Elephas maximus indicus: one gene and its partners. The protein of the gene in region 1 purifies or fractionates together with the protein of each later gene. This does not show direct contact. Links are inferred from orthologs where the notes say so. Each region holds a gene or a part of one and is shown on either strand. Other genes may lie near its edges.

Region 1 (7,696 bases):
ATATGTTGGGGTGCTAGGAAGAGAAATGCAGAGCCCATTAAGCGTGCCTGATGAAATGGGGTTATCCGAACAAGTCTTAACCGATATGTAGGGGTGCAAGAAAGTGAAATATGCGGCCTATTAGGTGCAGTCAATGAAATGGGGTCCTTTGGACAAGTGTTACCTAACTCCCACAATCACAATTTCTGCTTAGTTTGCTCTTCTGACACAACCACCGTGAATTGTGGGCTCACGGCATGGTTTGGAGCTAAACCTTCTTCTTTTTTTTTTTTTAATCTTTATTGTGCTTTAAGTGAAAGTTTACAAATCAAGTCAGTCTCTCACACAAAAACTTATATACACCTTGCTACATACTCCCAATTGCTCCTCCCAGTGAGAGAGCCCGCTCCCTCCCTCCACTCTCTTTTCATGTCCATTCTGCCAGCTTCTAACCCCCTCCACCCTCTCATCTCCCCTCCAGACAGGTGATGCCAACACAGTCTCAAGTGTTCACCTGATCCAAGAAGCTCACTCCTCATCAGCAAACCTCTCCATCCCATTGTCCAGTCCAATCCCTGTCTGAAGAGTTGGCTTTGGGAATGGTTCCCTGTCCTGGGCCAACAAAAGGTCTGGGGGCCATGACCACCGGGGTCCTTCTAGTCTCAGTCAGATCATTAAGTCTGGTCTTTTTACGAGAATTTGGCGTCTGCATCCCACTGCTCTCCTGCTCCCTCAGGGGTTCCATTGTGTTCCCTGTCAGGACAGTCATTGGTTGTAGCCGGGAACCAGCTAAACCTTCAGACTTTTGATCCACAAGATTGTGAACCTGCCCAGAGAGCAGGTGACATGTGCCACCCTATAGTGTCTCCATTCGGCAGGCAGTGCTGGATGAATGTTTGGTGAATAAATGCATAAATGACAAAATCTCGTTACTTAAGAAAGTACCTGTTGCGCATCAGGGAAAAAAAAATTTAAAGAGTTGCCTAATTTTGAAAAGAATACACCAAAAATCAGTCACAGAAAGGGAGTGGTCTCCTTTCCAAGCAGTCGCCCTGGAAGGCCACACACCGCTTCCTACGGCGCTGCTAAAGCACAGAGCACGCGGGAACTTCTCTTTCAGAGTGATCTTCAGACCTGCAGATCGCTCTCCTGGCTCTCTCTGGTAGCAGCAAATTTTCCTCCTCAAGGTGGGTTAGTTTCAGAAATAGTCAGAAGTCATTCAGAGCCTGGTCTGGAGAATGAGGTGAGTTACCAAGCCAGGTAAGACAAGTTTTGGTCAAACATGTAGTATGACTATTAAATATGACTGATTTTCTCACATGGCTTACATATTCATTACCGTAACAGGAGTGCTAAAGACGTACTGGCAAAGAAACATCAATGAAACAGAAACATAACCTTTTGGGACAACTGTTTTTAACAACGCAGTGTCTACCTGGATACTTAAGTTCTGGTTTGTCTAGATAAAATTCAGGTTCATAACTTTACAGACTTGTAACACCAAAACGAAAGACTGACTCCTCTATAGTTGACAATGATAGCATCACCCAAATTTACTAAATTTGACCACCAGAAGAAAAAATAAGGAAACACCTTGATATCATTTGTAGCTGTGATAAGTCAAAACCCCTTCCAACACGAGCACAGCCAGAACTTACCTGTATGCTCTCTGGAATGACTCCACAAAGCTTTCTTCAGCTGTCTGAGCATTTCCCCTAACACTGGAAAGTAGTTTCAGCTTTTGGGACCTGGTTGGACTCTACTCAAACGCTCAGACTGTAATGTAATCAGGCAGAGACTCCCCTCCCAGGGCGTGAAGTTGGAATCTCCCTCAGTCCAGGCTCACCTGGGAATCCCGACCACTGCCTCAGGAAGGGACCATTCCACAGGCAGTATGACAGAGGTGAGTCCTAAAGGAGGAATGAGGAACCATTGATACACCCCAAACTGAAGTTCAGATGTCATAGTCCCTTCTTCCATTTCCCTCAAGTGGAGCTGAGGACTGGTTTAGTCTTGCAAATGAGTTTGTTAAAAAAAAGTTCACTTAACATAATCAACCATTCTGCCCAGCAAACTCAGCTGTCACAAAGTAACCAGGAAAACTTAAGGTTTTCGCAGGAGCAAGACTAGTTAAGTCTTAAAGTCTTAGGTTCTTCCAGCATCATAGTTGCAGTTAGTTTATTCTAGGGGCCCAGAATCCTTTGGGGTCCTAAATCAAAGAGACAAGTACATTACTATTTCTAAGACGCTGGAGAGCATCTCGGGCACAGCAAATACGTCCAACCTGTGCACACTTTCGAGGCGAGGGAGCAAGTTCCAGGTGGCTCCAAAGAGCTCAAAGATCCCCCAAAGAGCCATCAACACTTGGGGCCGGCCTAGTCCGGAGGACAAATCCGCATGCCTCTCACCCTCCCTTTGTGGACGGCAAACATGTGCCACGCGAATGCCCGGATGAGAACTGACAGCTTCAGGAAAATAAACTCCACCCGGGGCGCGAGGGCAGCTCGCGAGGAGTCCAGACTCTGAGGGGTTCCAGGGCTCCCGCGGGCCGGGACTCGCCGCGGACGGAACGCGGAATCGTGCCTGTCTCAGTATCCCCCTTCCCGGGGGCCCAGAAGCCACGCTTCGGTCAGCTGCCCCCACGGCCGGAGCGCGCAGCCTGGGGCGCTCCACGGAAGCGACGGCGGCGAAGGGTTCCCTGGCCTCGGCTCCCGCCACCGCCGCCACGCTCCTGCCTGCCGCCGCCGCCGCCGAGGCGACCTCCTCCTCCCCCCGCCGGCGCCGCCAGCCCGGCCTCCTAGCCGCCCGCTCGGGCCTCGCTCACCTCAGCGCGAGCGCCGAGAGCGGGCCACTGCTCCGCTGGAGTTGGGACGGCGCGGAGTAGACGTCCCTCTGCCCTTCCGCTCCTCAGACGCTCCGGCTTCAAGCGCGACGCGGGCGGAACAAACGGGCTCCACTACCCGCGGGGGCCGGCCATTGTACGACGTCATCAGGCCGCGACGGTCGTCCTGGGGCAGGCGGGCTTCCCTCGCTTGTTCTTCCCTGCTCCCTCTTCCTTCCGGCCTCCGCGCGGCCCCGCCCCCCGGCCCGCGCCCACCCGATCACCGTCGCGGCGCAGGCGCCGTCAAGACGCCCCGCCCCCCGGGGCGGGGCCCTGAGCCCGCGCTCTTGACGGGGCCGCCTGAGAACGCCTGCGTATAGGGTTTAACGCTCCCGCGAGCGCTGTCATGTGACGCGCCCTGTCAGGTGACGAGTGCGCCGCGGCTTTCCAGGAGGAAGCAGGCGATCCCCGGTTCGCCGCCTCGCAGTTTTGCTGGCTGACGCCTTCGGAAGAAAACATCTTATTCTAAATATCAAAGCGGAAACACGTTAATCTATCTTCCTCGGATGAAATATTTTCTCGCCTTATCAAATGTAACCAGCTTTAACATTTCACCTTTTGCCGGTCAGAAGACGTTGAATGGAGACTCAGGGCATTTTTTACTGATGACGAACTTTTCACAGACTCTCAGGGTTGACCATCATCACTGCCATCTGCAGAACAGCCAGGCGGGCAAGATGTCCATTTCAAAGATGAGTAACCTGAGGCTTGGAGCAGCCCCGCCCGCCCAGAAGCTAATTGAGAACTGAGCAGACAGTGACTGCGCACCGGTCACCATCCTGCATCCAGTTACCGTCCTGCAGGCGCCGCCGCGATGCCCCAGCCCAGGGAGGGAGCGCCAGGCAGGCAGCGCAGCTTCGGGGGCGTGTATGTCGGAGTTGCAGTTCCCCCATGTACTGCAGTGTGGCCTTGAGACAGTCACTCAGCGTATCTAGCCTCCGTTTTCTTATCGGTAAATTGGGGATATTAAGAATGTGGTTGTGGATGAGTGCGGATAAGGGGAAGGCAGGATGAATGAGCCCCCCAGTCCCAACTCACACCTTCTTCAAAAGTGGTGCCTTCTCAGAAAGATTAGTCCAAAGGACTAAGGGACTGCAACTACCATGGCCTCCACCAGACGGAGTCCGGTACAACTAGATGGTGCTGGGCTACCACCGCTGACTGCTCTGACAGGGACCACAACAGAGGGTCCTTGACAGAGATGGAGAAAAATGTAGAACAAAATTCTAACTCACAAAAAAGACCAGACTTACTGGCTTGACAGAGACTGGAGAAACCTGAGTGTGTGGCCCCCTGACACCGTTTTAGCTCAGTAATGAAGCTGCTCCTGAGGTTCACTCTTAAGGCGAAGATTAGACAGACCCCTAAGATAAAACAAGACTAAAGGGGCATACTAGCCCAGGGGCAAGGACTAGAAGGCCAGAGGAGACAGGAAAGCTGGTAATAGGGAACCCAAGGTTGAGAGGGGAGAGTGTTGATGTGTGGTGGGGCTGTTAACCAGTATCATAAAACAATGTGTACGAAGTGTTTAATGAGAAACTAGTTTGTCCTGTAAACTTTCATTTAAAGTACAATTTTTAAAAAATGGTGCCTTCTTAACTATTATTTGAGGTCTTCTGTTGACTCAATGCAGGTGTTTAAAAAAAAAAAAAAAAGGCAAAATGGAAGCAGGAGAGTGAGACCTGAGAGGAGGCTGGCAGAAAAGGGAGGGGGCAGAGGTAGTGCTTCTTTAAAGAGCTCTTTCCCTGGCTCCTCCTGAGCAAACCCGTGGCTCCACCTGGGAAACCCTTAATTAGTAGTGCTCAAACATGGCAGTGAAGTCTTTTAAAAAATGAACATTTCAGTTGCCTCTTGAAGGATGAAGAGGGTGACTGGTTGGAGTAGGAAGGGGGAGCATTCCAGACAGAGGGAATGGCTTTGGCAGGGCTCAACAAGGGTCTTCAGAAGAGTTGGAGTTGAATGGGGAGGGTGATCAGGGAGAGAGACTGGACAAAGTTGGAAATCTGCTCTGCTTGCTCTGGGAGCGACAATCTGGGGTAACCACGGCCCTGTGCTTAGAAGGGGCTATGCTTGGTTTAGTGCCTGCTGCCACCATCTTAACATTCTTAGTTTGTGAACAAGGTGCCCTCCATTTCAGTTTTACACCAGATCCTGTAAACTATGTAACCGGTCCTGGGGTTGACTAAGGGTTTTGAGGTGTGGAGCAGAGCAGGCCTCTCCTCACCCCATCTTCCTCCTCCAGTGGAAGGACTCTTCATTGGGGTTCTTGTGAGCCCACCGCCATTCGTTCCACACATGTATATGTCTGGCCATAGTGACGTTAAGTGTACTCATAGATGTTTGCCTCATGTTCCCTGAATGAATGTGTGAGGGAATAAATGAAGACATTAAATACAGAGTTACAGTATGACAACGCAGCAATTCCACTCCTGGGTATCTACCTGCGAGAATTGAAAACACACGTCCATGCAAAGACTTGTACGTGAATGTTCGTAGCAGCACCATTCACAGTAGCCATAAAGTGGAAACAACCTGGGCGTCCATCAGTAGATGGATGGATACACACAACGTGGTATATCCACACGATAGGATATTATTCGGCTGTAAAAAGGAATGATGCCTTGATGTATGCTATGACATGGATGAGGGCATTTTGAGGGGGAGGAGGAATGATGGGATCTAGAAAGCAGGCTTTTAAATATTTAGTAAAAATTTACTTGAACTTAAAAATATTTGGAGGATGGGTGTGGGAGGGGTGGTGTGGGAGACAGCAGAATCTTCCTTTTCCGGGGGAAAAGGTCGATACACGTTTTCAAAACTCAGAATGTCAAGAAATAACCGTATGAATATTTTATTAGAAATGAGGAAAAGGCCAGAGGACAGAACTCAAAGAGTTGAAACAGTTGCCCCTTGGGAATGAGAAATGGGGGTGAAAAGGGACGTTTAAAAGATTTTATTTTTATAGTGTTTTAAGTGAGTGTTTACAAATCAAGTCAGACTCTCATACAAAAACTTATGTACACTTTGCTGTATACTCGTAATTGATCTCCCCCTAATGAGACAGCATGAAAAGGGACTTTTTAAAAAAATCAGCCCCATTGAGGTATACTCCACTTTTGGTAAAACACACATCGATGAGTTTTTTGCAAAGGTCTATACCTGTGCAGTCACCACTGCAATCGAGAGAGGACATTTCCTCTACATAGAAAGTCCACTGGTACCCCTTGCTGTCATTCCCCAACCCTGTATTCTGCCATGACAGTTTTGAGTTGTCTTTCCCAGTGTCACATGAATGCATGTAGTGTGTATCTGGCTTCTGCCACTCAGCACGATGTTTTTGAGATTCATCCACGATGTGTGTACCAGTAGTTGGACAAACTGTTGTGTTTTGTTGTTGCTGTTTTAAGCCTTAGATTTTTAGACAATATATTTTAAAAAGGAAGAAAAAGAAATTGATGGCAGCTACCATTCCTGAGAGCCTGCTGAGAGTTAGGCACTTTCAGTCACCAACCACCTCCTTTAGGATCCAGGCTCTTAGTCACGGAGGCCAGGATTTGACTCTTGGCTCCAACGCTGACTAAAAATAAATGTGTAACTTTGATTAACTGTAGTTGTTTCCTCGGGCTGCTGTTACAAAGAACTATAAAGTGGGGGGCATAAAACAACAGAAAATCTTCTCTCATAGTTCTAAAGGTTAGAAGTCAGAATTTAGGGTGTGGGCAGGGCCTCGCTCCCTCTGGAGGCTCTAGGGGAGGATCCTTCCTGTCTCTTCCAGCTCCTGGTGGCCCCAGGCATTCCTTGGCTTGTGGCCCCGTCACTTCAATCTCTGTTCTGTCCTCACATGGTGTTCTTCCCTATGTGTCTCTCTTCCTTCTGTGTCTCTTTTCCTCTTTTTATAAGGACACCACTTATATTGGATTATGGGCGAACCCTACTCTAGTATGACCTATTATTACCTTAACCAGTTCCATCTGCAAAGACCCCATTTCCAAATCAGTGCTGCCCCGATTCCTGTCATGCTGGTGCTCCCCAATGTTTTGGCGTTTGCATGTATTTGCCCAGTTTTTATAGTTGTCTTTAGCAGAATGGTGTGGGGTTGGTTTGATACAAAAGACTCAGTTTGAAAGCTACGTTTTAGGAAGACATTTATGATGGACGAAATGACCAGGAGAGAGCCCAGTGGTCCTCACCGGTCTGCATGCCACGGGATGACAAGGACTGCTTTTGCTCTTTTCTCACAGGCCACCAGAGGGCGCGCCAGCCCCGCCCACGGCAGTTCTCAGGCAGGCCGGCGGGGCCGCTATGCACAGAGGGCGGCAGGGCAGGGGCACGTGGAGTGAGCTACATTGTCCCAGCGTCCGGGGGCTTTGTCAGCTTCTCCTTCTCGGTTATTACACAGATGACTCCGGAAGGCCTGGGTGGGCGTCAGGGACCTGGACACTCAAATGTGTCAGTCCCTGCTGCTTGTTCAGAATTAACCAAGAGGGACATCAGGCATGACCACAGGCCAACCTATGTTGTCATGTACACACGTGCATGCATACATATGCAGTCAGGTGCACGCATGCACATGCACACATGTACACACATTAAGGCATGCACACCTGTGTGGACATGCACACGCACAAACACATGCTTTCATTCACCGGAAGCTCGCTTTACAATGATATTGAAAAATTAATGGTGCACACGTTTTTTTCCAGTTTTTTTGCTGCACTTGGAATACTCCCTTCTTCAGAACAGCGCTGGGTGCCCCTTGAGGAAGGCCCGCTCATCTGTGTGGCTCTGCTTTGGCCGCGGACAGACCATGAAGACCCGGGTGTCAGAAGTGTGATC
Region 2 (7,872 bases), on another chromosome or scaffold:
TGAAATGTTGGGGGACAGAAGAAAAATTTATTATTTTAGGTGTCAAATAGCACAAAAAGCATTCCAAATACAAAAGAATAAAATTATTACAATTACAGAATATTTAGTATCAAAGCATACTTTAATCTTTCACGATATATAAAGAAAACTAACATTTTTTGGCACTTATTATGTGTCAGAAAACGTTATAAACCATAAAACCAAACCTGTTACCAACAAGCCGATTCTGACTCATAGTGGACCCTATAGGACAGAGTAGAACTGCCCCATAGGGTTTCCAAATAGCAGCTGGTAGATGTGAACTGCCAACCTTTTGATTAGCAGCCATACCACTTAACCACTACACCACCAGGACTCCAGAAAATGTTACACACATTGTCAATTTAACCCTCAAAATAACTCAGAGCTATTAGATCTGTTTTACAGGTGAATGAGGTTCAGTGTGATTAGCAACTATCTGAAGATCTTAAGAGTGAATGCTAGGCTCATGATTTGAACCCAGGTTTGCCTACAAAGCCACCATTGCAAATCTCTCTCAATGCTTAAAAAATATTTTATAAGAATGATTTTCAGGTCCACAAGCATTTGCTAGGTACCAATCAGGCTAGCATGTTAAAAAAAGGAACGTAAGGACAGGTAAGAGATATGATCAGTGATCTTAAGAAATACCAAGCTAGTGGGAGGGCAAGAAACGAATTACAAAATAGTATCAGAAGAAAAAGTAGTACAAAATACTTTGCGTACAGTGAAAAAGCAACAACAAAATTTCCACTGGTCCAAGTGTATATACCAAATCCTCACAAACAAAAGATTTTGAATTTCCATTTTACGGGAGAAACGTTATCAACACCAAACCTTTCAACAAAACAATCTTTATGTAAAACCAATTTGATTCTAATGAAAGGTATTCTAGAAAAGATGTAGGAAAAAACAAAACAAAAACCACAAACCAAAAAGCTATACCTGTTGCTTTAACAGCTGTGGGTCTGGTAGTCATGACTGATTTTGGAGGATTCTCAACAACTCTGGGAACCTCCACCACCACTTCCTGTTCATCTGGATCTAAAAATGAGCAAAGAAAACTGCAGTCAGACTATGGATAAGAAAAAACACTACAAGTGACACAAGAATCTCTGATTTGACGTTTTCAAAGCCTAGATTTCATCAATTTAAAAACAGGGTGGATAATCCCTCACTGACCCAAATAATTGGGAGATGATAAACAAGCACAGCTATAATCTTCCCTTTGCCTAGTGACTTTAACATTAAGAGAAAAACTTAAATGTTGTACTTAAAGATTAAATTTTTAATAACTCTTTATAATTTTTTAAGGTGATTTCATTGGAAAACCAATGTAACTCTATAATTCTACTTCTGGATATACAACCTACGTAAACTCTGAGACAAATATACAGGCAGACACGGTGTTAACTGCATCACTGCCCCAAACAGGAAAGAAGCCTGAAACGTAAACATCCATCAATAGTGGAATGCAGAAACGGTGGTACATTCATACCACGGGATACTATAAAAAAATACAACAGTTAAATTCAACACAGAACTCATGTATTAACACATAAATCACAAACATTACAGAAGAATGTGCATAGTTTGATACCATTTATGTAAAAACAACTACAAACTAACAGCGTACATAGAGTGAAAATATAAAAATACACAAAGCAAGCATACTCACCAGCTTCGGAATACTCTTGAGAGGGAGGGAGGAAGGGAAACAAATGGAATGTGGGGTAGTGGGGGACTCTTGGTAAAGTTTTATTTTATAAAAAAAAAAAAAAGAAGTAAAAATAGCAAAAGACTACCATCTGTTTAATCTGTTGTGGATATGTATATCTATTATAACGTTTTTACTTCTGAAATACTCGAAAGTCAAAAAAACCCCTCACATTCACACAAAATTTCTCTTCTCCAGGCTACCACAAGGTCTTGACAACAAGCACTGCTATTATAGTATTTTCCCTCCTGAAAAAACTCCCTCGTCATTTTTTAAACACCTGAAATTATGGCGACTTGTTTCGCGTTCAGCGCCTGTGGTAACGCTGGCCCGTCACCCTTAATCTAATTACCAGTCCAAGGCGAGCCACCCAAGTCCACGGGAACCCCCAAGTTTCACTTCTTCAGCCATGTGTGTGGCATGCCTGCCAATTTGGAGGCAGTTACGTTTCGGCGGGCATAATAAACAGGGTTTGCTCACTTCTAAAGAGTCTCTCTCAGTTTCAACAAAAACGGAGGGAAAAACACATGACGTATAGAAAAGGCCACAGCGTCAGCGGTCACCACGTCTCGGACGCGGAAACTCATACATTCACCCACCCTGTAAGTTATCCCAAGCCGACACTGGACGATGAGGACTCAGGGCGCCCGGGCCGCCGTCGGATTCAAACGTTCCTGGGGAACCCCTGCACCAGAGCTGGCCCTCGGGGTCGGCCCGGACGGAGCCCGCACGGCCCGCCTGAGCCTTCCACCGCCCAGCCCGCAGCCCCACGCAGGCCTGGATGCGGACCCCGCCCGCCCGGGTTTCTCTTCCTCCCAGCGTCAGGCCAGGCGCCTCCTGAGGCCTAGGCCTCAAGCCCCGGGCTCGAGTTTCGGACCGCCCGACTCCAGGCCAGGGCCTCGTATGCACGCTTACCTTCTGAAGGCGAGTCTTCCGAGGCCGCGGCAGCCGTCACAGCAGTCGTCGTGGCCGGCGCCACCACCGTCGGGGCTGGCTGACTGGTGGCCGCCGCCGTCGAGTCCAGCTCGGTGTCGGCCTCCGGTTCCGGGTCCCGCCCGGGGGTGCTGCTCCGGGGACCAGGCGGGGAGAGCTGCAGGATGGGCCTGCGACCGGGTACCGCCCGGGACTTCTTCCCCATCGCGAGCCCGAGCGCGAACAGCCAGCGTCTGGCGGCCGAGAGGGGCGGGCGCTCAGCGTTGCAATGCGTAATCAATATTCATACACCGCAACACCGCCTCCCAGGAGGACCCGCTTTTAACCGGCGGAGTGCGCGCCCGCGCAAGCGCCTTGGACCCTTTACGTTCTTCTGACTCCTCCTCCCATAGGAGGAAGGGCGGGCTTTACCCTGGGAGCTACTTGATTGGCTGTTTCGACCCAGAGAATGCGCCAATAACCAATGAAAAAGGAAAATAAGAGTTAGTCGAGCCAATAGTGAGGAAGAGTCTGGGTTTAACATACCTTCCCCGCTTACGTCGGGTTCCACCCATGCGTTTTTTGCAGTTTATTCTTTGCCCCGGTCCTCCATTTTGTGGATGTTTTCGGCTGTTTGATGTGTTGTAATTTGGGCCCTGGAAAGCTGTGCTACTTTCCCAGCCCTTCCCCCAAGTTTCGCCCTCGTTATTGTGGCTTACTTTGGGTATTACTGTCGACTATTAAATAGGATATTGGGTCTTTTACACCTTTGTAAATTCTTAGATCACAAAGAATGAGTTGTTGGGATGTGATGCAAGAGCTTTCAGAATCTGATTCTACTGGAGCCCTCGACCTACTTTTCTAGATTGATCTTTTCCTTTCCCAGGTACCTACGCTCTAGCCGTTTGAGCATCACGTCTCTCCAATCCTTCGCACTAGCTACAGGAACTGCTGCACCACGTGGCGAAATTCTTTGATTTCCTTAAGTCCCAGTGCAGCCGTGTACCTCTCTGAACCTTTTCTCTCACAGCCTTGCCCCTTCCCAGCACTTCACATTCTACCCTTGGTGCTTGTCTTCCCCTCTAAACTGAGTTTAAGAAATCCAGTGATAGTTATTTTTATATCCCCAATAGCTACCTTAGTTCTGAGTGCACAGTAATAATATCCAATATTTTTTGAGCACTTGCTCAATGCTAGGCAGTAAGGGCTTTCTATGTAGAACTGCATTTGATTCGTGAGGTAGATAACCATTATCCCCATTTTACAAATGCACAAATGGGTTGTTAAATACAAAGTCATTTTGAGACAAGTGGCTTGTTTTGCTCCCTGTAGTTGCAATGCCTACAACACTTTCTGGAACATAGGAAACAGTAAGTGTTTTTAAGTGAATATAAAGGAGCCTTGCTGGTGCAGTGCTTAAGGGCTCAGCTGCTAACCAAAAGGTCGACAGTTCGAATCCACCACGCACTCCTTGGAAACTCTACAGGCATGGGAGGGTGGGGGGAGGCAGTTCTACTCTGTCCTGTAGGGTCAATATGAGTCGGAATCGACTGGACGCAATGGGTTTGGTTTGCCTACAACAGTTTCTGGAACATAGGAAACAGTAAATGTTTTTGAATGAATATAGTATGTATTAATATTTAACAGACTTGAAATAAGTAGCAAACCTATCTACAGGAGATACACCTGGAATTAGGGTATCCTCAGTGGACTCCCAAGATTACCAAAAATGTAATCCCGAGAAGCAGGGGGAGGGAGGTTTGCATTAGCAGTTTTCTGATTTTTTTGGAAGAGGCATTGGAATGATAGTTGTGCGTGAGTTCTAAAGCCAAACAGATCTGGATTCAAGCTGTACTCCAGCACCCTTCAGATTTGTAATGGCCAAGGCAAGTTTCTTTCTTAAATTCCTAAACTTGTTTCTGGGCCCTGGTGGCACAGTGGAGAAAGTGCTCAGCTGCAGTTCCAACCACCAGCCACTCCGCTGGAGAAAGATGTCGCAGTCTGCTTCCAAACAGCCTTGGAAACCCCATGGGGCAGTTCTACCGCGTCCTGTAAGTCAGAATTGACTCCATCGGGTCAGTAGAAAACTTACTTCTGTGAAATGTCTTAGTAACAGTATCCATAGCATTGTTGTGAAATTTAAATTAGATCATAGCTTTAAGCTCTTTGGGTAGAGTCTGGAAAAAATAAACACTAATTATGTAGTAATGAGTATAAAGCTTGAAGTGCTCACTAGTCTATGCTAAGAAATTTGGAAGACAGCTACCTGGCCAACTGACGGGAAGAGATTGTTATTTATGCCTATTTCACTGAAGGTGATCCAACTGAATGTAGAAATTATTGAACAATATCACACGCAAGTAAAATTTTTATGAAGATCATTCAAAAGTGGTTGTAGCAGTATATTGACAGGGAACTGCCAGAAATTCAAGCCGGATTCAGAAGAGGACATGGAAGGAGGGCTATCGCTGTTGATGTTGGATGGATGCTGGCTGAAAGCAGAGAATACCAGAAAGATGCTTACCTGTGTTTTATTGACCATGCAAAGGCATTTGACTGTGTGCATCATAACAAACTATGGAGAACATTCCTAAGAGTGGGAATTGCAGAACATGTAATTGTGCTCATGAGGAATCTATACACAGACCAAGAGGCAGTCATTTGAAAAGAACAAGGGGTTACTGCATGCTTTAAAGTCAGGAAACGTGTGTCAGGGTTGTATCCTTTCACCATACTTGCTCAGTCTGTATGCTGAGCAAATAATCCAAGAAGCTGGACTGTCTGAAAAAGAACAGGGCATCAGGATTGGAGGAAGACTCATTAACAACCTGCGTTATGCAGATGACACAACCTTGCTTAATGAAAGTGAAGAGGACTTGAAGCACTTACTGATGAAGATCAAAGACTATAGCCTTCAGTATGGATTACACCTCAACATAAAGAAAGCAAAAATCCTCACAACTAGACCAATAAGCAGTATCATGATAAACAGAGAAAACACTGAAGTAGTCAAGGATTTCATTTTACTTGTATCCACAATCAACACCCATGGAAGCAGCAGTTAAGAAATCAGACTACGCATTGCATTGGGCAGATCTGCTGCAAAAGACCTCTTTAAAGTGTTGAAAAGCAAAGATGTCACCTTGAGGAGGAAGGTGCACCTGACCCATACCATGGTGTTTTCAATTGCCTCATATGCATGTGAAAGCTGAACAATGAATAAGGAAGACCAAAGAAGAATTGACGCCTTTGGATTATGGTGTTGGCAAAGAATATTGAATATACCACGGACTGTCGAAAGAGCAAACAAATCTGTCTTGAAAGAAATACTGCCAGAATGTTCCTTAGAAGCAAGGATGTTGAAACATTGTCTCACTTACTTTTGACGTGTTATTAGGAGTGATCAGTCCCTGGAGAAGGACTTTGTGCATAGTAAAGTAGAGGGTCAGTAAAAAACAGGAAGACCCTCAACCGAGATGGACTGACATAGTGGCTACAATGGGCTCAAGCGTAACAATTCTGAGGATGGCACAGAACCTCACAGTGTTTCGTTCTGTTCTACATACGGTTGCTATGAGTCAGAACCGACTCGACGGCACCTAACAACAACATGTAGTAATAATTATTATATTAATAATATTGTTTTGTTTAAACAAAATATTTCTTTTGTTTAAATAAAATTCCAGCGCCTATTATGAAACTGGTTGGATCCAAGTTGACACTATGTGCTAAAGCACAAAGCACTGAAATGGGAAAGGCTGTTTTCTTTGGAGAAAACTTACATTTTAGGTGACCGTTTAGCTTATAACAATGGTTCTCAACCCTGGTTGTTCATAGAACCATCTGGAGATTATGAATGCAATGTAAGAATCTGAATCAATTGGACTGGGGAGTAGGGGTGATGGTGTTAGATGCTGAGGGGTCCAACTCATATTGACCCAACGTATAACAGAATGAAACTGCCTGATTCTGTGCCATCCTCATAACTGTTGCTATGTTTGAGCCCATTGTTACAGCCACGGTGTCAACTCATCTCATTGAGGGTCTTCCTTTTTTTTTGGTGACCCCTGCTTTACCAACCACAATGTTTTTCTCCAGGAGCTGGTCCCTCTTCATAACACATCCAAAGTAAGCAAGATGAAGTCTTACTATTCTCGCTTCTCAGGAGCATTTTGGCTGTACTTCTTCCAAGACAGATTTGTTCATTCTTTTGGTAGTCCATGGTATATTCAATATTCTTCGCCAACACCGCAATTAAAAAGGTGTCAATTCTTCTTTTGTCTCTCTTATTCATCATCCAGCATATAAGGCAACTGAAAATACCATAGCTTGGGTCAGGCGCACCTTAGTCATAAAAGTGACATCTTTGCTTTTTTAGAACTTTAAAGATGTCTTTTGCAGCAGATTTGCTCAATTCATCGTCTGACTTCTTGACTGCTGCTTCCATGAGCATTGATACTGTGGATCCAAGAAGGATGAAATGCTTGACGACTTCAATTTCTTCACCATTTATCATGATGTTGCTTATTGGTCCAGTTGTGAAGATTTTTGTTTTATGTTGAGGTGCAATCCATACTCAAGGCTGTAGTCTTTGATCTTCATCAGTAGGTGCTTCAAGTCATCTTACTATGGACAAAGGTGTGCCTGACCCAAGCCATGGTGTTTTCAATTGCCTCATAATGCATGCAAAAGCTGGATGATGAATAAGGGAGACAGAAAAGAATGGACCCTTTGAATTATGGTGTTGAATATTGAATATACCATGGACTGCCAAAAGAACGAACAAATCTGTCTTGGAAGTAGAACCAGAATGCTCTTTAGAAGCAAGGATGGCAAGACTGAACCTCACATACTTTGGACATGTTATTAGGAGGGATCAGTCCCCGATGGACATCATATTTGGTAGAGGGTCAGTGAAAAGAGGAAGACCCTCAACAAGATGCACTGACACAGTGGCTGCAACAACAGGCTTAAGCATGGCAATAGCTGTGAGAATGGCGCAGGACCAGGCACTGTTTCATTTCTGTTGTACACACGGTTATTATGAGACAGAACTGACTTGACAGCATCTGCCAACAACAACATGGGCAAAAAACTGACACAAAGCATCAAAAGAATGATGGAAGGAATACACAGTGTACAAAAAAAAAAAAAAAAAAACCAGTTGATGTTCAAACATTTCAGGAGGTAGCATATGATCAAGATCTGATGGTACTAAAGGAAGA
Region 3 (7,184 bases), on another chromosome or scaffold:
AGGTAGTTGAAAATACCATGACATGGTGAGGTACACCTCAGTCTTCAAAGTGACATCTTTGCTTTTTAACACTTAAAAGAGGTCTTTTTCAGCAGAGTTGCCAAATACAATATATCCTTTGATTTCTTAACTGCTGCTTCCACAGACATTGATTGTGGATCCAAGTAAAATGAAATCCTTGACAACGTCAATCTTTTCTCCATTTATCTTGATGTTTCCTATTGGTCAAGTTGGGAGGATTTTTGTTTTCTTTATGTTGAGGTATAATCCATGCTAAAGGCTGTAGTCTTTGATTTTCATCAGTGAGTGCTTCAAGTCCTCTTCACTTTCAGTAAGCAAAGTGGTGTTATCTGAATATCACAGGTTGTTGATAGGTCTTCCTCCAAGCTTGATGTCATTCTTCTTCATATAGTCCAGCTTTTTGAATTATGTGGTCAGCATACACACTGAATAAGTATAGTGAAAGAATACAACCCTGATGCACACCTTTACTGATTTTAAACCCAGAAGTATCTCCTTATTCTGTCTGAATGACTGCCTCTTGGTTTACGTACAGGTTCTGCATGAGCACAATCAAGTGTTCTGGAATTCCTATTCTTCGCAATATCATGATCCACACAGTTGAATATTTTTGCATACTCAATAAAACACAGGTAAAGATCTTTTTGGTATTCTCTGCTTTCAGCCAAGACTCATCTGACATCAGCAATGACATCCCTCATTCCACGTCCTCTTCTGAATCCGGCTTGAAGTTGTGACATTCTAGCAGTTCCCTGTTTATGTATTGCTGCAACTGCTTTTGAATAATTTTCACCAAAATTTTACTTGCATGTGATATTAATGATGTTGTTTGATAATGTCCACATCCTGTTGAATCACCTTTCTTTGGAATGTGCACAAATATGGATGTCTTCCAGTCTGTTGGCCAGGTAGCTGTCTTGCAAGTTTCTTGGCATAGACGAGTGAGCACCTTTAGTGCTCCATCTGTTTGATGAAACATGTCATTTATTACTCCATCAATTCCTGGAGCTTTGTTTTTCCTGGAGCCAATGCCTTCAGTGTAGCTTGGACTTCTTCCTTCAGTATCATTGGTTCTTGATCATATGCTACTTCATGATATGGGTGAATAATGTTAACCAATTTTTTGGTACAGTGACTCTCTGTATTCCTCCCATCTTGTTTTGATGCTTCCTGTGTTGTTCAATATTATGTCCACAGAATCCTTCAATATTGCAAATCAAGGCTTGACTTTTTTCTCCAATTCTTTCAGCTTGAGAAATTCCCTTTTGTTTTTCTAACTCCAGGTCTTTGCACATTTTATTGTAATAATTTATTTTGTCTCCTTTTGCTACTCTTTGAAATCTTCTGTTCAGCTCTTTTACTTCATCATTTCTTCCATTTGCTTTAGCTATTCTGTGTTCAATAGCAAGTTTCAGGGTCTCTTGTGACATCTATTTTGGTCTTTTCTCTTTCCTGTCTTTTTAATAACCTTTTGCTTTTTTCATGTATGATGATGTCCTTGATACGGTCTTTAAATTCAGGTGGGATATACTCAAGGTCTTATTTTGGCTCTCATGGGCTTGTTTTAATTTCCTTCATCTTCAACTTGAATTTGCATATGAGCAATTGATGGTCTTTTCCACAGTCAGTCCCTGGCCTTGTTCTGGCTGATGATATTGAGCTCCTCCATTGTCTCTTTCCACAGATGAGGTTGATTTGATTCCTGTGTATTCCATTCAGCAAGGTCCATGTGTATAGTCATGCAGTATTTGTTGTTGAAAAAAGGTATTTGCAATCAATAAGTCGTCATTTTTGCAAAATTCTATCATGTGACTGCCACTATTGTGCTTATCACCAAGGCCATATTTTCTGACTACTGACCCTTCTTCTTCATTTCCAACTTTTGCATTCCTATCACCAGTAATTATCAATGCATCTTGATTACATGTTTAATCAATTTCAGACTGCAGAAGCTGGCAAAAATCTTCAATTTCTTCATCTTTGGTATGAGTGGTTGGTGTGTAAATTTAAATAGTAGTTGTATTAACTGCTCTTCCTTGTAGGTGTATGGATATTACACCTACCGCTTATAACATTGTACTTCAGGACAGAGCTTGAGGTGTTCTTTTTAATGATGAATGTTATGTCCTTCCTCTTCAATTTGCCATTTCCAGCATAATAGACCATATGATTGGCCAATTCAGAATGGCCAATATCATTGCATTTCAGCTCATTAATGCCTAGGATATCGATTTTTATGTATTTCATTTCATTCTTGATGACTTCAAATTTTCCTAGATTCATACTTTGTACATTCCACATTCCTATTATTAATGGATGTTTGCAGCTGTTTCTTCTCATTTTAAGTCGTGCTTCATCAGCAAATGAAGGTCCCAAAAGCTTGACCCCATTTACATCATTAAGGCCGACTCTACTTTGAGGGGGCAGCTCTTCCCCAGTTATCTTTTGAGTGCCTTCCAAAGTGAGGTACTCATCTTCTGGCACTATATCCCCTGCTATTCAGAAGGTTTTCACCGGCCAGTTCTTTTAGAAGTAGATAGTCAGCTCCTTCTCCCTAGTCTGTGTTAGTGTGGAAGCTGAGCCAAAAACTGTCAACCATGGATGACCCTTCTGGTATTTGAAACACTGGTGGCATAGCTTCCAGCACCACAGCACCATACAAGCCACCACAGTATGAGACACTTGAGTGATGGGAAAAAAAAAAAAAAAAGTACAAGTGCACTACATGGTAAAAACTATGACATTCTGTTAAAAGAAAGCTTATGTGAAAATTGATAAACACAAATACATATTGTAATAAATAAGGCATTATGAACATAAATAAAGCATTGATTACAAAAATTAGAAAAATTAAAACACATAAGTCTAAAAAAAGCAGAAGGAAGGAATCAGTAAAGCCAAATGCAGAAACTGAAGAATTAGAAAAAAAGAAAGTCCTAGAAATAATACATGTGAATGCAAGAGCTGGTTCTTTGAAAAAAACAAATAGTAAAGGAGATAAACTGTTAGTTAATAGAGCTTGCTTTTGGGAAGGAAACTGCATAGTTGTAGAAGGTGGTGGATGGGATATTTACTTAAAAAATAATATATTGTTAAATATTTCAGGCATATCAAAAGGTGCAAAGAACAATATAAAGCACACCTATGAAACCACCATCAACCTAAGAAATAAAACATCATCAAAATGTTTGAAGCCCCTGTGTGCTTCTCCATTACATCTCCCTCCAGCTCACCATGAGTTTGAACTCTTAGTGTTCATATTTCCAAAGCATTTCTTTATCATTTTATAACATATGCAGGCCCTTAAAAAGTGCTATTTCGCACATTTTTGAACTATGTAGAGGTTATTTTACACTACTTATTTTTTAACCTGTGGTCGTATAACTCCGTTGCTGAGATTATCCCTGTTAGTAGGTAACAGCACTAGTTCATGCTCTCCCAGTGCTATACGCTATTACATTGTATCAACCACAGTTTACTTTTCACTTCTTCCGTTAATGGAAATTAAGTTTCCAGCTTTTTTGCAACTAAAAATTGTTGCCTTGAACATTCTATCGGTAGGTATTTTTTTTAGGCACATCTGCAAGAATTTTCCCAGGAGTTGGGCAGTCACTTGTTTACTTTTACTAGATGTTTCCAAATTACTCTCCCAAACCGTTGTGCCAATTCACACCACCAAGTAGCTGGGTATGGTTCCAGTTGCTCCACATGCTCAACACTTGGCAGGGAGACTTACTCTCCACTCTGAGCCCTTTTTATTGTTCCTGGCATTTCACGTTATAAAATGTCTTGAATTTTATCTCAATCCTCACAAGTTTGTGGGTTAGGTATTCTTATTCTTAGTTTACAGATGAGAAATCAAAGGACCTTTTCGTTTTCTGAGACGTTTCTTTTCTTTTTTTCAATGTCTTTTTCTTTTCATCCTCTCTCACTGCATCTTTTCCTCCACGTCGTGTAGGGGCTGCTTGTTGGAGGGTATGCAAGGTAGGGCGGGGTATCAAGAGTTGGCACCTTTCCCCACCCGACCTGCACCACGTGCAAAACCTACTCGGCACTCCGCCACCCGGAGGCCGTCGTGGCTCTGTAACGCGCGCGGTAGAGAAAGGTTTGGACCACTGGAGCCTCCGTAGTCAGCTCCTCTCCTCCCCTCTCCTCTTGCATCTCAGAGGGCTCCGTCCGCCGCGCTGGAGTAGGCGGGGCGACGATTTCGGGCAGCTGGGCGCCTTACGGTAGGCCGAGGTTTGCAGCGCAAGCGCGCAGGGCGGCGGAAGTGCTGTCGTTTCTCCGTCTCCTGAGCCGTTGTCGTTTCTCCCTCTCCTGAGCCGCTGTCGCCGAGGTTGTAGCACACTGCCCCGGAAGTCTTCCCCCTGCCCCCGCCCGCTGCAAACATGGCGGTGGACTCGGCGATGGAGCTGCTATTTTTAGATACTTTTAAGCACCCGAGCGCTGAGGTAAGGCCTTGTGACTTCATTCCGACCTGCTTCTCCACTTGGGCATCCATACCAAAAAAGAAAAAAAAAAAGGCCATTAGACATGCCTTCATTTTTCTTCCCGCCGATTGTCGCGTTAATTCCTCACGTACACCCCCCCTCCCCCAACATGGGTGTGGGCACCATGTCTGAGAAAGGGCTACAGCAGCCCTCTCATTTCCCTGGTCTAACTTAGGCCTCCGTGTCTTTAGTCGAGTTGGCTACTCTGCTCGCATTCCTCTTTTTTTTTTTCTCATTCCTGTCAGTTTTGGGCCTTCAGAAGGATCATGGTTTGCAGATTTACCTCAGGTGTTTGGGAGAGGTCTTGGGCAGCTTGTGTTTGACAGTAACGCAGGAGTCCGAGCACCTCACGCTGGTTTGGTAGTTCTTGGTTAAGACTTCTCTGAATCTTCTTCAGGTCACTTTTCTAACGGGAGTTCTGAAGCTCAGTTGTGAGAATTAGGATTGCGGCGTTTTCCAGTTTATCCTGAAACTTCAGTATTTACCTCTTGGAAAGATTTCACACATTTGTACACGAAATGCTTATACGGAACGTCCCTTGTGTGGAGAATACTTGCAAAGAGGGGAGAATTGAGAGAAGTGTAGCCAAACTTCCGTCCGAAAGCACAAACGTATTGACGTTTTGGAGAGTCGGTGTTGTGCAGCAGCTGTTCTGTACCAGACAATTTCGAGCACCCCTGAACGTTTGACTGGCTCTGCAATATGTAAATGGAATGTCACTTTTGGAGCCCTGGTGGCATAGTGGTTAAGAGCTCGGCTGCTAACCAAAAGGTTGGCGCTTGAATCCACCAGGCGCGCCTTGGAAACCGCAGGGGGCAATTCTGCCCTGTCCTGTGGGGTCGCTGTGAGTTGGAAACGACTGGATGGCATCGAGCTTTTTCGATTTAGTTAACTAAATGTTCCCAGAAGCAGGCCACAAACTAATATTAACGAAGTCCCCAGTGAAATTAAAAAAAAAAAACCCTCACATTTCTTCCCTTAATCTGGATTTAATCAATTTAGAGAACTGTTCTTTATTCGGAGATTCTTCTGTTTTTATTATCAGAGGAGTGTGTGTGCATATCAAGCTCCATTTGGATAAGTAGTGTCTCTCTTCTTCACAGCTGTATCTCCAGTGCCTAGAACAGTATCCTGTAAAATGTAGGTGACCCATTAACCAGCTGCCACCGAGTCGATTCCGACTGATAGTGACCTTTTAGACCAAAATGTAGGTGCTCAATAAATATTTGAATAAGTCTTTTAGATTGTTCTTTCATTTTTGAGGAAACCCTGGCAGCGTAGTGGTTAAGTGCTACAGTTGCTAACCAGAGGGTCAGCAGTTCGAATCCACGAGGCGCTGCATGGAAACTCTATGGGGCAGTTCTACTCTGTCCTATAGGGTCGCTATGAGTTGGAATCGACTCGAGGGAACTGGGTTTGGTGTTTGGTTTTGGTTTTCACTTATGAAATAATGGTGATAGAAGGTGTATTTTAATGCTTTGCTTGTCAGAATGAAACGTTGACAACCGTGATGTGATTTTTTTAACAAATGGTTTACAAGTCTGTGAAAGTCAAAATTTTGTGAACCATGGATTAACATCTTACTGATAACCTCACATTTCTTGTAGGTCAGTTAGCTCTGTTCAGTGACATCTTTTCTGACTGTAGTTCTAGCTAGGCTTTCGAAAACTTACAGTGGAGTCAGTGGTTGGATCAGAACAAACCTATTGTGTACAGAGATGGAGAACAGTTAAAAATGAAAGAAAAATCACATGGTAAGTCAATTTAGTAGTAGTCTGGTTTAAGAAAAGTTGGCGTTCAGTCATTTATCACATATTGGTTGGCAATTTGAACCCACCCAGTGGCTCTGCAGGAGAAGGACATGGTTATCTGCTTCAGTAAAGATCACAGTCAAGAAAACCCTATGAGGCAGTTCTCCTTCGTCACACGGGGTCCTTATGAGTTGAGATCAACTCAATGTCACCTAACAACAAGAATCTCTTATTCCTTCATTTATTCTTAGCAAGTGAGGACAGTGAGAGCATAGGGAAGGGAGTAAATATCTCCTTGTGGGGGTGACTGGGCATAGTATAGATCAAATTTGAACAGAGTCTTGGTGGAGTATGGGCTTGTGTGTAGAGAAGGAATGGGGGAGAGATGTTCTCAACAGCAGACTAGGTGTGTGCAGAGGTGTGTGCAGAGGTACTGTGTAAGATATATTTAGGAATTGGATAGTAATTGTGATCTAAGGATAGGGTGTTTAGAAAACAGTGTTGGAGAGTGAAAAATTAAGAGTAGTCTATCTGGAAGTCAGCTTTGGTGGTCAAGAAATGTGTGAGAGCTATCAAGTTTCACAGTTAAAAATAATTAGTATGTCTTAAAACAGAGATGGTTAATGAATTCTATATGTGTGAGGCACTTTGCTGAGTGCTGTAGGGGACATTGAGATAAAACAGAATCTCTATGCTCAAGGAGTTTATAGATAAGTATTAGGGATTTAAAAAAAAAAAAACCAGAACCCATTCTTTTAGTCAGTTCCGACTCATGGGTTACAGAAAATTGCCCCTTAGGGTTTTCTTAATCTTTACGGAAGGAGATCTCCAGGCCTTTCTTTTCAGTTACTGCTGGGTAGATTTGAGCTGCAAACCTTTAAGTTAGTAGTCCAGTGCAAACCATTTGCACCACCTTTGTTGT
Region 4 (7,742 bases), on another chromosome or scaffold:
ATGGGTTTCCAAAGATTAGGGTTTCCTTGAAATGCTCCCATAGAGACCATTCAAAAACAACAATTGCTTAGATGGTTTACATGCTTATATGGTTTTCTCTGAGTTAGGAGAGCATGTAGTGATCACTAAAAACAAAAGCCATCTCACATTCTTGATGGACTTCCTAATTTGGAAGATAGGATAAAGCCAGAGACAGAAGTGTAACTGGGTTTCCACAGAAACACCTGACAACCCCTGGGAACAAGATGGCTCATCGTGGGCTAGATGTGGTAACTTAGAGGACTTCACAGAAACCAGTGTGGCCGTCTGTGGGCGTTCTCTTCCAGCTTCCACACTGGGGAGGACAGATGCTTGATTAATAGAAGGCCTACCAGCTGACCTGCTCTCAGGCCCTCCTGACCCAGGTAAGGCTCTAACATGAAGCATATACTGAGTTTGGATTTAAGATGACCCTTCTTACACCTAACAGTGGCATTCCAGCTTGGAAAGCGGTAGCTGAGTAAACTCATACTGAGCCCCACAGCACTTTCCCAGGAGCCCTGCATGTGTCATGGTGGTCCAGTTTCCCTCACTCTGAGAATACGACCTTGCATTATTCGTCTCTGAGTGTTTTGCAGCACAGTGTGCAAAGTAAAAGGTCTCGTGTGATCACAAGCAGTGGCAGATTAGAGAAACAGTGAAACCATCCAAAGGAAACTGATTAAATTAATTACAGCACACTGATATAAAACCATGCTGTGCCAATAAACCTGTACATCTCCATGCAGGGACAGGGAACACCTCCCAGATGGAATGCAGGACGGTGTGAAGCGTATGCTCCAAATTGTATTTTTTAAAAGCATGAACTGATAACTGTTTCTACCTGTGGGGAGAATCAAGGGACTGCAAGTCAGACTTAATGTATGCCATCTCACCTAATCCTTAAAACAACTGTATGAGGTAGGTCCTAACTTATTATCCTCACTTTACACGTGAGGAAAAAGTCAGTAACCTGTCCCAGTCCCAGAGCTACTCAGCAGTTATAACTGCAATTCAAGCCTAGTCTAGTCCTCAATCCCACACTGCTTTAGAAAATCCACAAGGGAACAGGCGTTCTTTGTTAACGATAGGTTCTCAAAGCTCTGGAATGAGACATCAGGGAATGTAGATTAACTTTTTATTACTGCTGTTACTGATTTGTTAAAATTATGGTCAGGAGGCAGTTTCACTTTTCTCATACACGTAAGAGATGTCCAAACAGCCAGCCTGTGGCTTAAGACAACTGTGGTCTAAGTGCTTGCTTAAGGTATGATATGAATGTGGATTCCTTTCAGGGAACACTAGCAATTCTGCATGACAGTACTGAACTTTAAGCTTTAAATTGCAGAGATGAATAATAGCAAAAGTCTAATCCTTTCAGTCTGCACCTTGCAGGATGGTCTAAATTCAAGATGGTTATGATGTGGAACTTTCTAAGGTAACAAGAACTGTAAAAGTGGAAGAAGTGAAATCATGCCTCGCACATAAAACCAAAAACCAAACCCACTGCTGTCAAGTCGATTCCGACTCACAGCGACCCTAGAGGACAGAGTAGAACTGCCCCATAGAGTTTCCAAGCAGTGCCTGGCGGATTTGAACTGCGGATTTGAACTACGGCTGCTAACCTCTTGGTTAGCAGCTGTAGCACTCAACCACTACACCACCAGGGTTTCCCCTCGCACACAGTAAGAATTTAAAAACTGTTGGCTGAGTGAATGAATTTAAGATCCTCGTCGGTTTAGCCTCAAACAAAAGTTCCTTTTCCCTGCCCTACGAACACATTGTACACATTCTCCATGCTGCTCTCTCATCCCTTTCTGCCCCTTTCTTCCCAGTCACAAATTGTTATCCCTCTTCTGAATCCTCACAACCCCTGCGTTTGTGCTCACCATTTCTGCTCTGAATTACGATGACTTGCTTCCATTTACAATCCCTACTAGAGGCTCATTAAAGTTTAGAGTGCAGAAACTGACTTCCCCTCTCTCTCTATGGCTTAGCAGGTTTCCTAACAGCACCCAATAAACCCAATGAAAACCTAAATAACTGGATTAATGAAACCGTCTCCTAATTATTCCCGGCACCCCATACCTGCCATTCCTAATACCGAAAAGCCCACAATGAGAATGCAGCTAAATTCTGCAGCCTTCTTCTCTTTCACAAATCTCCTGACATAGCCTAAACTAAAAATTTCCTCTTTTAAAATTCAGCAGTTCTCTGATCTTGACACCCAGACATCCTCTAAGTGCCCAGCTTGGCTGGTCCACCTCCCCATCCCTAGGGTTCGGGCAGGGCTCAACTCCCATCCAAAGCGCAGAACATGGTAGAACCTTCCTACAGGCAAAGAAAAGGGGTCAAAGCGCCAAAGGCTATTGTTTCTCTCATCGCATTTTGAAAAGCAAGCCCTGGTAGCCGGGTAAGGAAGGCGCGCCTCCACATACTCCGGAGGCAAACGGACAGCCCTGCCCCTCATCTCAAAACCACCTCCCCGAGGCACAGGCCCTGAAAATGAGAACCACCCCTGCCGGCTGCTGCTACTACCACTACTACTACTACTACTGCCGCCGTCACCACTACTACTGCCTGAACACTCCTGCACTGGCCCGGGTACACGGAGGGCTGCAAGGGAATGAGAAAGCGAGCCCCAAACTCCCTTTTTAGACAGGAACTGGCTTCAGTGAAATACAAACACCCGCCCAGTACCCATTCCCTGCTTCCCCGGGCAGCACTGCGGCCTCACTTCGCTTCTCGCGACACGAGCAGGATGAGAGACGACACAATGAGATTAGAGCAAACCGTTTCTCAGCGTTCGGCCCTTGGGCGGCCCGGTCTCCCTCACCCGGAAGTGCTGATCCCGGTACTGGCTCAGCTCTACGTAGGAGTCACTGCGCAGCGCCTTCAGGAGGCCACCGGACATAGCGCAAAGAGGTGGACGGCGACGCCGCAACTCCGAGAACAATGAAACGGCGGCGGCGACACCGGCGGCGGAACCGGAAACGCGCGGAGGCGGCCGCCGGAAGCAGAGAGAGCGGGAATGCTTGGGCCCAATCCGAGCGCGGCAGTGTCGTCATCAGACGGCGCGGGCGCAGACCCGGTCCGATGTGGGGCGCCGCCGACCGGAAGGCTAGAGCCACGTGCCCCGGGTTCCGGGGAGCTGCGGAGAGGATGGTGTTTCGGCGGCTGCTTGCAGCTCTGCTGCACAGCTCGCAGCTGGTGGAGCGTCTCTCGGAGTCGTGGCCCATCCGGCGTGCGGCACAGCTCACGGCCTTCGCGCTGTTGCAGGCCCAGCTGCGCGGTAAGGAGGCGGCCCGGCGCGCTGCCCGCTTCAGAGACGCCTTCAAACAAGAACTGCGCCGCGGCCTCCGGGACCGCCCGGGGTCACCACCAGGTAGCCGGAAGGGCCCGGGCGCAGACCCTTAAGACCGGGCTGGGCTGGGCCGAGGTCGTCCGCCCTCGGTCTGGGCTGTACATCGGTCTCGGCGCTGCGGGGTCATTGCGGGCACTGAGCGCGGCTCCGAGTCCTGACTCCGATTCTCGGCCTACAGAGGTCATACGCATTAGAGAACCCAGACCAAACCGACAATCTCTCTGAAGCTATGCAATCGAGTGATCGTTCAGGCACAGTCTGGAGAAAGACTCTGGAGCCCGACAGAGATAAAGACCCGTGGACAGAACCACAGCCGGAAAGGGAGCTTGTCCTCTGCAATCGGGACCAGAACTCTTGATGGATGCTGTTGTCTCTGCCCTGATAGAACACTACTTGCGGGGAAGATCATCGATGAAAAGACAGCCCTGCAGGTGCCAAATTCTCTGATTAAATGTGTGAGCTGATTAATGAGTCTGAGTGTGGTGCTTCTCAGGTAAGATGGATTAGGAATCCTGGGGGTATAGGCTCATAGTAATAATAGCTAACATACCGAGTGCTTTCTCTGTTTTGGCACTTGCTAATTGCACACTGGGTGAGATACCTCCTTTACTACCTACGATCACTTTCTTAAAAGGAAGTGATTACTTAAGTTGCCCAAGGCCTTACAGAGGGGGGACGTAAACACTGGCAATTGACCCCAGGGCCTCTGTCCTTAATTACCACGTACGCAGCATTTACCCTGACCTCGTATGTTCCCACCCACCCACCACTACCAGACATTGGGATAATGGCCCACCGGGGAACAAACTACCTGTGTTCCTAGTTCCCATTTTAGAGTATCTGGGATACAGACTAAGAAAGATTATGGTCCAGCTAATGAACCCGTGATTAGGAAATCTGTTCTGTACAGAAATGCCCTGTCATCTGAGGTACCTGGTTGATTTTGATTGTAATGAGCCTACACAGTTAATCATGCAATCTAGAAAGCTTGAAGCCACAGGAAAGGCTTTTAAGCTGGTGACAGACAATTTATACCCTGGCTTTTCTGACGGGCAGGGAGAGTGAGCTGCAAAGGTCCTAGACACCTACCCTGGGGGGTTCAAACTCATGCTTGCAGGGGTGAAGCAATGAATGTTTAGGGGACTCTGAGAAGCTGGAAAGCCCCTGACCCATCTGGAGGGGTAGCAGCTACTCTGTCAGCTAGTTTTGCGCTGTGGGACTGTGGCCTGGTGGTGCTGGACCTCCTATTTGTTTCCTAGGAGAAATCTGGCTCCTTTATTACTTCAGGCCTAACAAAATGGCTATGGGCTACCATTTTCCTACCTCAGCTCTGGCCCTGTTCTTCTTTGAAAAACGGTGTTACACAGTATGGGGGCATAAAGGCTTCCTAGCCATGTTTTTTTTTTTTTTAACTTTTATTGAGCTTCAGGTGAACGTTTACAAATCAGGTCAAACTGTCACATATAAGTTTATATACACCTTACTCTGTACTCCCACTTGCTCTCCCCCTACTGAGTCAGCCCTTCCAGTTTCTCATGACAATTTTGCCAGCTTCCAACTCTCTCTATCCTCCCATTCTCCCTCCAGACAGGAGATGCCAACACAGTCTCAAGTGTCCACCTGATACAAATAGCTCACTCTTCATCAGCATCTCTCTCCTACCCACTGTCCAGACCCTTCCATGTCTGATGAGTTGTTTTCGGGAATGGTTCCTGTCCTGGGCCAACAGAAGGTTTGGGGACCATGACCGCCGGGATTCCTCTAGTCTCAGTCAGACCATTAAGTATGGTCTTTTTATGAGGATTTGGGGTCTGCATCCCACTGATCTCCTGCTCCCTCAGGGGTCCTCTGCTGTGCTCCCTGTCAGGGCAGTCATCGATTGTGGCCGGGCACCAACTAGTTCTTCTGGTCTCAGGATGATGTAGGTCTCTGGTTCATGTCCTAGCCATGTTTTATATTAGTATTGTTTTTGTGCAGGCAGCCCTGTTTACTTTTCATTTTTATAGTTCTTCTGCATCAGTGTCAGTCTGGAAACTTTTCCTAAGAAAAGGACCCTTCTGGCCACCTTTCTTATCTCCATTAGTAAGGGATGAGGCATGGACTGCTACCTCTGAAACCGACAATGGAACCTTCTCCCACAGATCCCCTCCCAAACCTGCATCAGGCCAGCTCTGCAAGTGGACCCAGTGCGATTGCTTTCCAAGGTACAAAAAGATACCCCTGAAATAATGCTGCCTGTACCTACTGGGCTAGTTGTCTGTCCTTTTTTTCTCTGAGCACTACCTGGCCTGCCCATGGGGTGTATTTTCTACAGCCTTGTTTTTGTTCCCTGGCCATAGGAGATGGTTCAGGGTGGACCAATAGGATGCAAATGCCTAGAAATTTGGCCCCAAGACAGAATTGCTGGGAACCATGTTAGTGGCTATGACCCAAAGAGAAAGTCTCAAAAAGTCTGCTGCCAAGGGACCCTCGTTCTGCCCTTTTCAAGTATCAAACAACTCCAGATTCTGGGAGATAAACAGTATCCTTACACTAAAAGCTTTTCTCCCCCAGGTTAGTTCTATTACTTATAATCCAAAGAGCGTTAACTAAACTGGGAAACATTTCACTGTGAAGGTAAGAAATAGATTGAAAGTATACCTGAAAAAGAGTAGAAATAAACCACTGAAAGTGGGACTGTCAGTGAAAGCAGAGGGATAGCTATTAAGAGCGCTGGCTATTTGAAAGGTAAGGGTGATGGAGGAACTTAACACTCAAGTGTGGAGGGGAGATTGCCAAAATTAGCCCTATTTCCTTTGACCTGAGAAGGTCAAAGGAGGTATTCAAGGTCCTGCCCCATCCATGTTTAAAAGGAACATACTTTCAGGCTATAAATACAGTTATTTCTCCTGAGAATGGAGAAACTAGCTTGTTCTAATGGTCAGTTATTCTTGTGAGTTGGCATGAGGTGGCATCTCACCCTCCAGTCTCCCATTAGAGATGCTGCAGTTAAATACTCTCCAAGGCCAGAGGTTCCCCACTGCTAATGACCAAAGTCCTGGTCTGGCATCCCATCCTTCTGTCTGAGGGGCTGTCAGATCCCCCCTCTCCAGGGCATGTGGGGTTCTCCTTGGAGTCTGAGGACCTCTTTGGTCTCTGGATGAGTATTAGCAGTCTCCAGCCCAGCCCCACCCCCAGCATAAACAAGCACACTCACTGTTGAGTCTTTTAGTGGTGGGACCAGTGCGGGAAGCAGTGCAGGAAGCAGTGAAGCTTCCAGACGAATTGGCCACTTGGAAGGGAAGGAAGCAAGAGAAGGAGGCAGTTCCTTATTTTCCCTGGAGGAAGTGTACAAGGACTATGTTTTCTCTGTTTTTGTAGAAGGGATCTGAGAGCACACAGAAAATATGGTCTTTCTTTCTGCTCCAGCCCAAGGTGATTTGGGCCATCCCTCCCCGCAGTGGCCTGCCATTGTAGCAGTTCCTCTATGACTGAAGAAACAGACTTCTCTCCGCCACCTCCAGTGGTGGCAGTCTCCCAGCATGCTTTTTCAAGCTCTTCCAAGCCCTGCCAGGTGAAGGAGGGAAGCAGCTCGGCCCATCATACTACAGAGAGAGGATAGCAACACTTTACAGATACATTTATTTATTAGAGCTCAGGGACCACCATGATTCCTGCTACATCGATTCCTGTAGGGAATTTTGAGGTTGTGGACCCAACTGGGGCAGGGGAACCAAGAGTCCAAGACACCCAGAGGAGAGTTTGGGGTCCCAGAGTCTGGAGTGTCTCCAAGGTGGCAGTTGGCTTTTATCTGTTGTGCAGAAAGCCGTCTTTGGCTGCAAAGTAAACCAGTGCCCGGCACATGCCATATAGGATGTTAAGCACTAGGGGTATGAAGATGAATCAGAGGTTCGTGGCGTCATAGAACAATGTAGCGTTATGAACGGTACCATAGAGTTCACAGGAGGGGACCATCCTGTGGCGTGCTAGAGCAGCTCACACTGGCTCATGACAACAGATCGATGGCATCTTGTCCCAAGCCAAGTTCAGTGACATCATGTTGGCAGCTTGAACTTGGTCACGGTGGGAGGTTTACACCACGGACATTGGCCAATGATACAAATCGGATTTTTTTTTTTTTTTAACCCAGAGAGTGGGCTGTTCAGTATTCACCAGTACACCACTGACTTTGGTTTTCCTCAGTGGCACTGGGGTTATAAGAAGGCTGTGGGACCCAAGCAGCAGCCACAGAGCAGGACGCCTGTGCGAGGTGTGGTTTTAGGGTGACCCAGGGCTTTAGCCAGAAGGCAGAACTAGAACAGTGTGCTTGGGTTGGGTTATTTGCATAGATTTGGTTTCCTGCTCCACACTGACCTCCAGG

Evidence for each region.
Region 2: the proteins of ZC3H18 (region 1) and FNBP4 purify together in Homo sapiens (affinity purification with mass spectrometry; 3 studies listed by BioGRID and IntAct, counting the BioPlex papers as one, with this or other methods). This does not show direct contact. The link is inferred for Elephas maximus indicus from reciprocal best matches to the Homo sapiens genes ZC3H18 and FNBP4.
Region 3: the proteins of ZC3H18 (region 1) and VIRMA purify together in Homo sapiens (affinity purification with mass spectrometry; 3 studies listed by BioGRID and IntAct, counting the BioPlex papers as one, with this or other methods). This does not show direct contact. The link is inferred for Elephas maximus indicus from reciprocal best matches to the Homo sapiens genes ZC3H18 and VIRMA.
Region 4: the proteins of ZC3H18 (region 1) and NCBP2 purify together in Homo sapiens (co-immunoprecipitation; 3 studies listed by BioGRID and IntAct, with this or other methods). This does not show direct contact. The link is inferred for Elephas maximus indicus from reciprocal best matches to the Homo sapiens genes ZC3H18 and NCBP2.

The regions. Positions count from the first base shown.
Region 1 is NC_064839.1:53,895,007-53,902,702, reverse strand, and holds the start of ZC3H18 (zinc finger CCCH domain-containing protein 18), read right to left. Parts: upstream 3,004-7,696; 5' UTR 2,804-3,003; intron 1,890-2,803; 5' UTR 1,826-1,889; intron 1,819-1,825; exon of another isoform or gene 1,638-1,818; intron 1-1,637.
Region 2 is NC_064825.1:103,132,769-103,140,640, forward strand, and holds the start of FNBP4 (formin-binding protein 4), read right to left. Parts: upstream 3,007-7,872; 5' UTR 2,874-3,006; coding exon 2,651-2,873; intron 1,063-2,650; coding exon 964-1,062; intron 1-963.
Region 3 is NC_064833.1:47,453,995-47,461,178, forward strand, and holds the start of VIRMA (protein virilizer homolog), read left to right. Parts: upstream 1-4,184; 5' UTR 4,185-4,409; coding exon 4,410-4,472; intron 4,473-7,184. UniProt on the Homo sapiens protein: Associated component of the WMM complex, a complex that mediates N6-methyladenosine (m6A) methylation of RNAs, a modification that plays a role in the efficiency of mRNA splicing and RNA processing.
Region 4 is NC_064819.1:18,463,232-18,470,973, forward strand, and holds the start of NCBP2 (nuclear cap-binding protein subunit 2), read right to left. Parts: upstream 3,017-7,742; 5' UTR 2,933-3,016; coding exon 2,855-2,932; intron 1-2,854. Other genes in the region: protein NCBP2AS2, read left to right, coding at 3,115-3,403, 3,561-3,607. UniProt on the Homo sapiens protein: Component of the cap-binding complex (CBC), which binds co-transcriptionally to the 5' cap of pre-mRNAs and is involved in various processes such as pre-mRNA splicing, translation regulation, nonsense-mediated mRNA decay, RNA-mediated gene silencing (RNAi) by microRNAs (miRNAs) and mRNA export.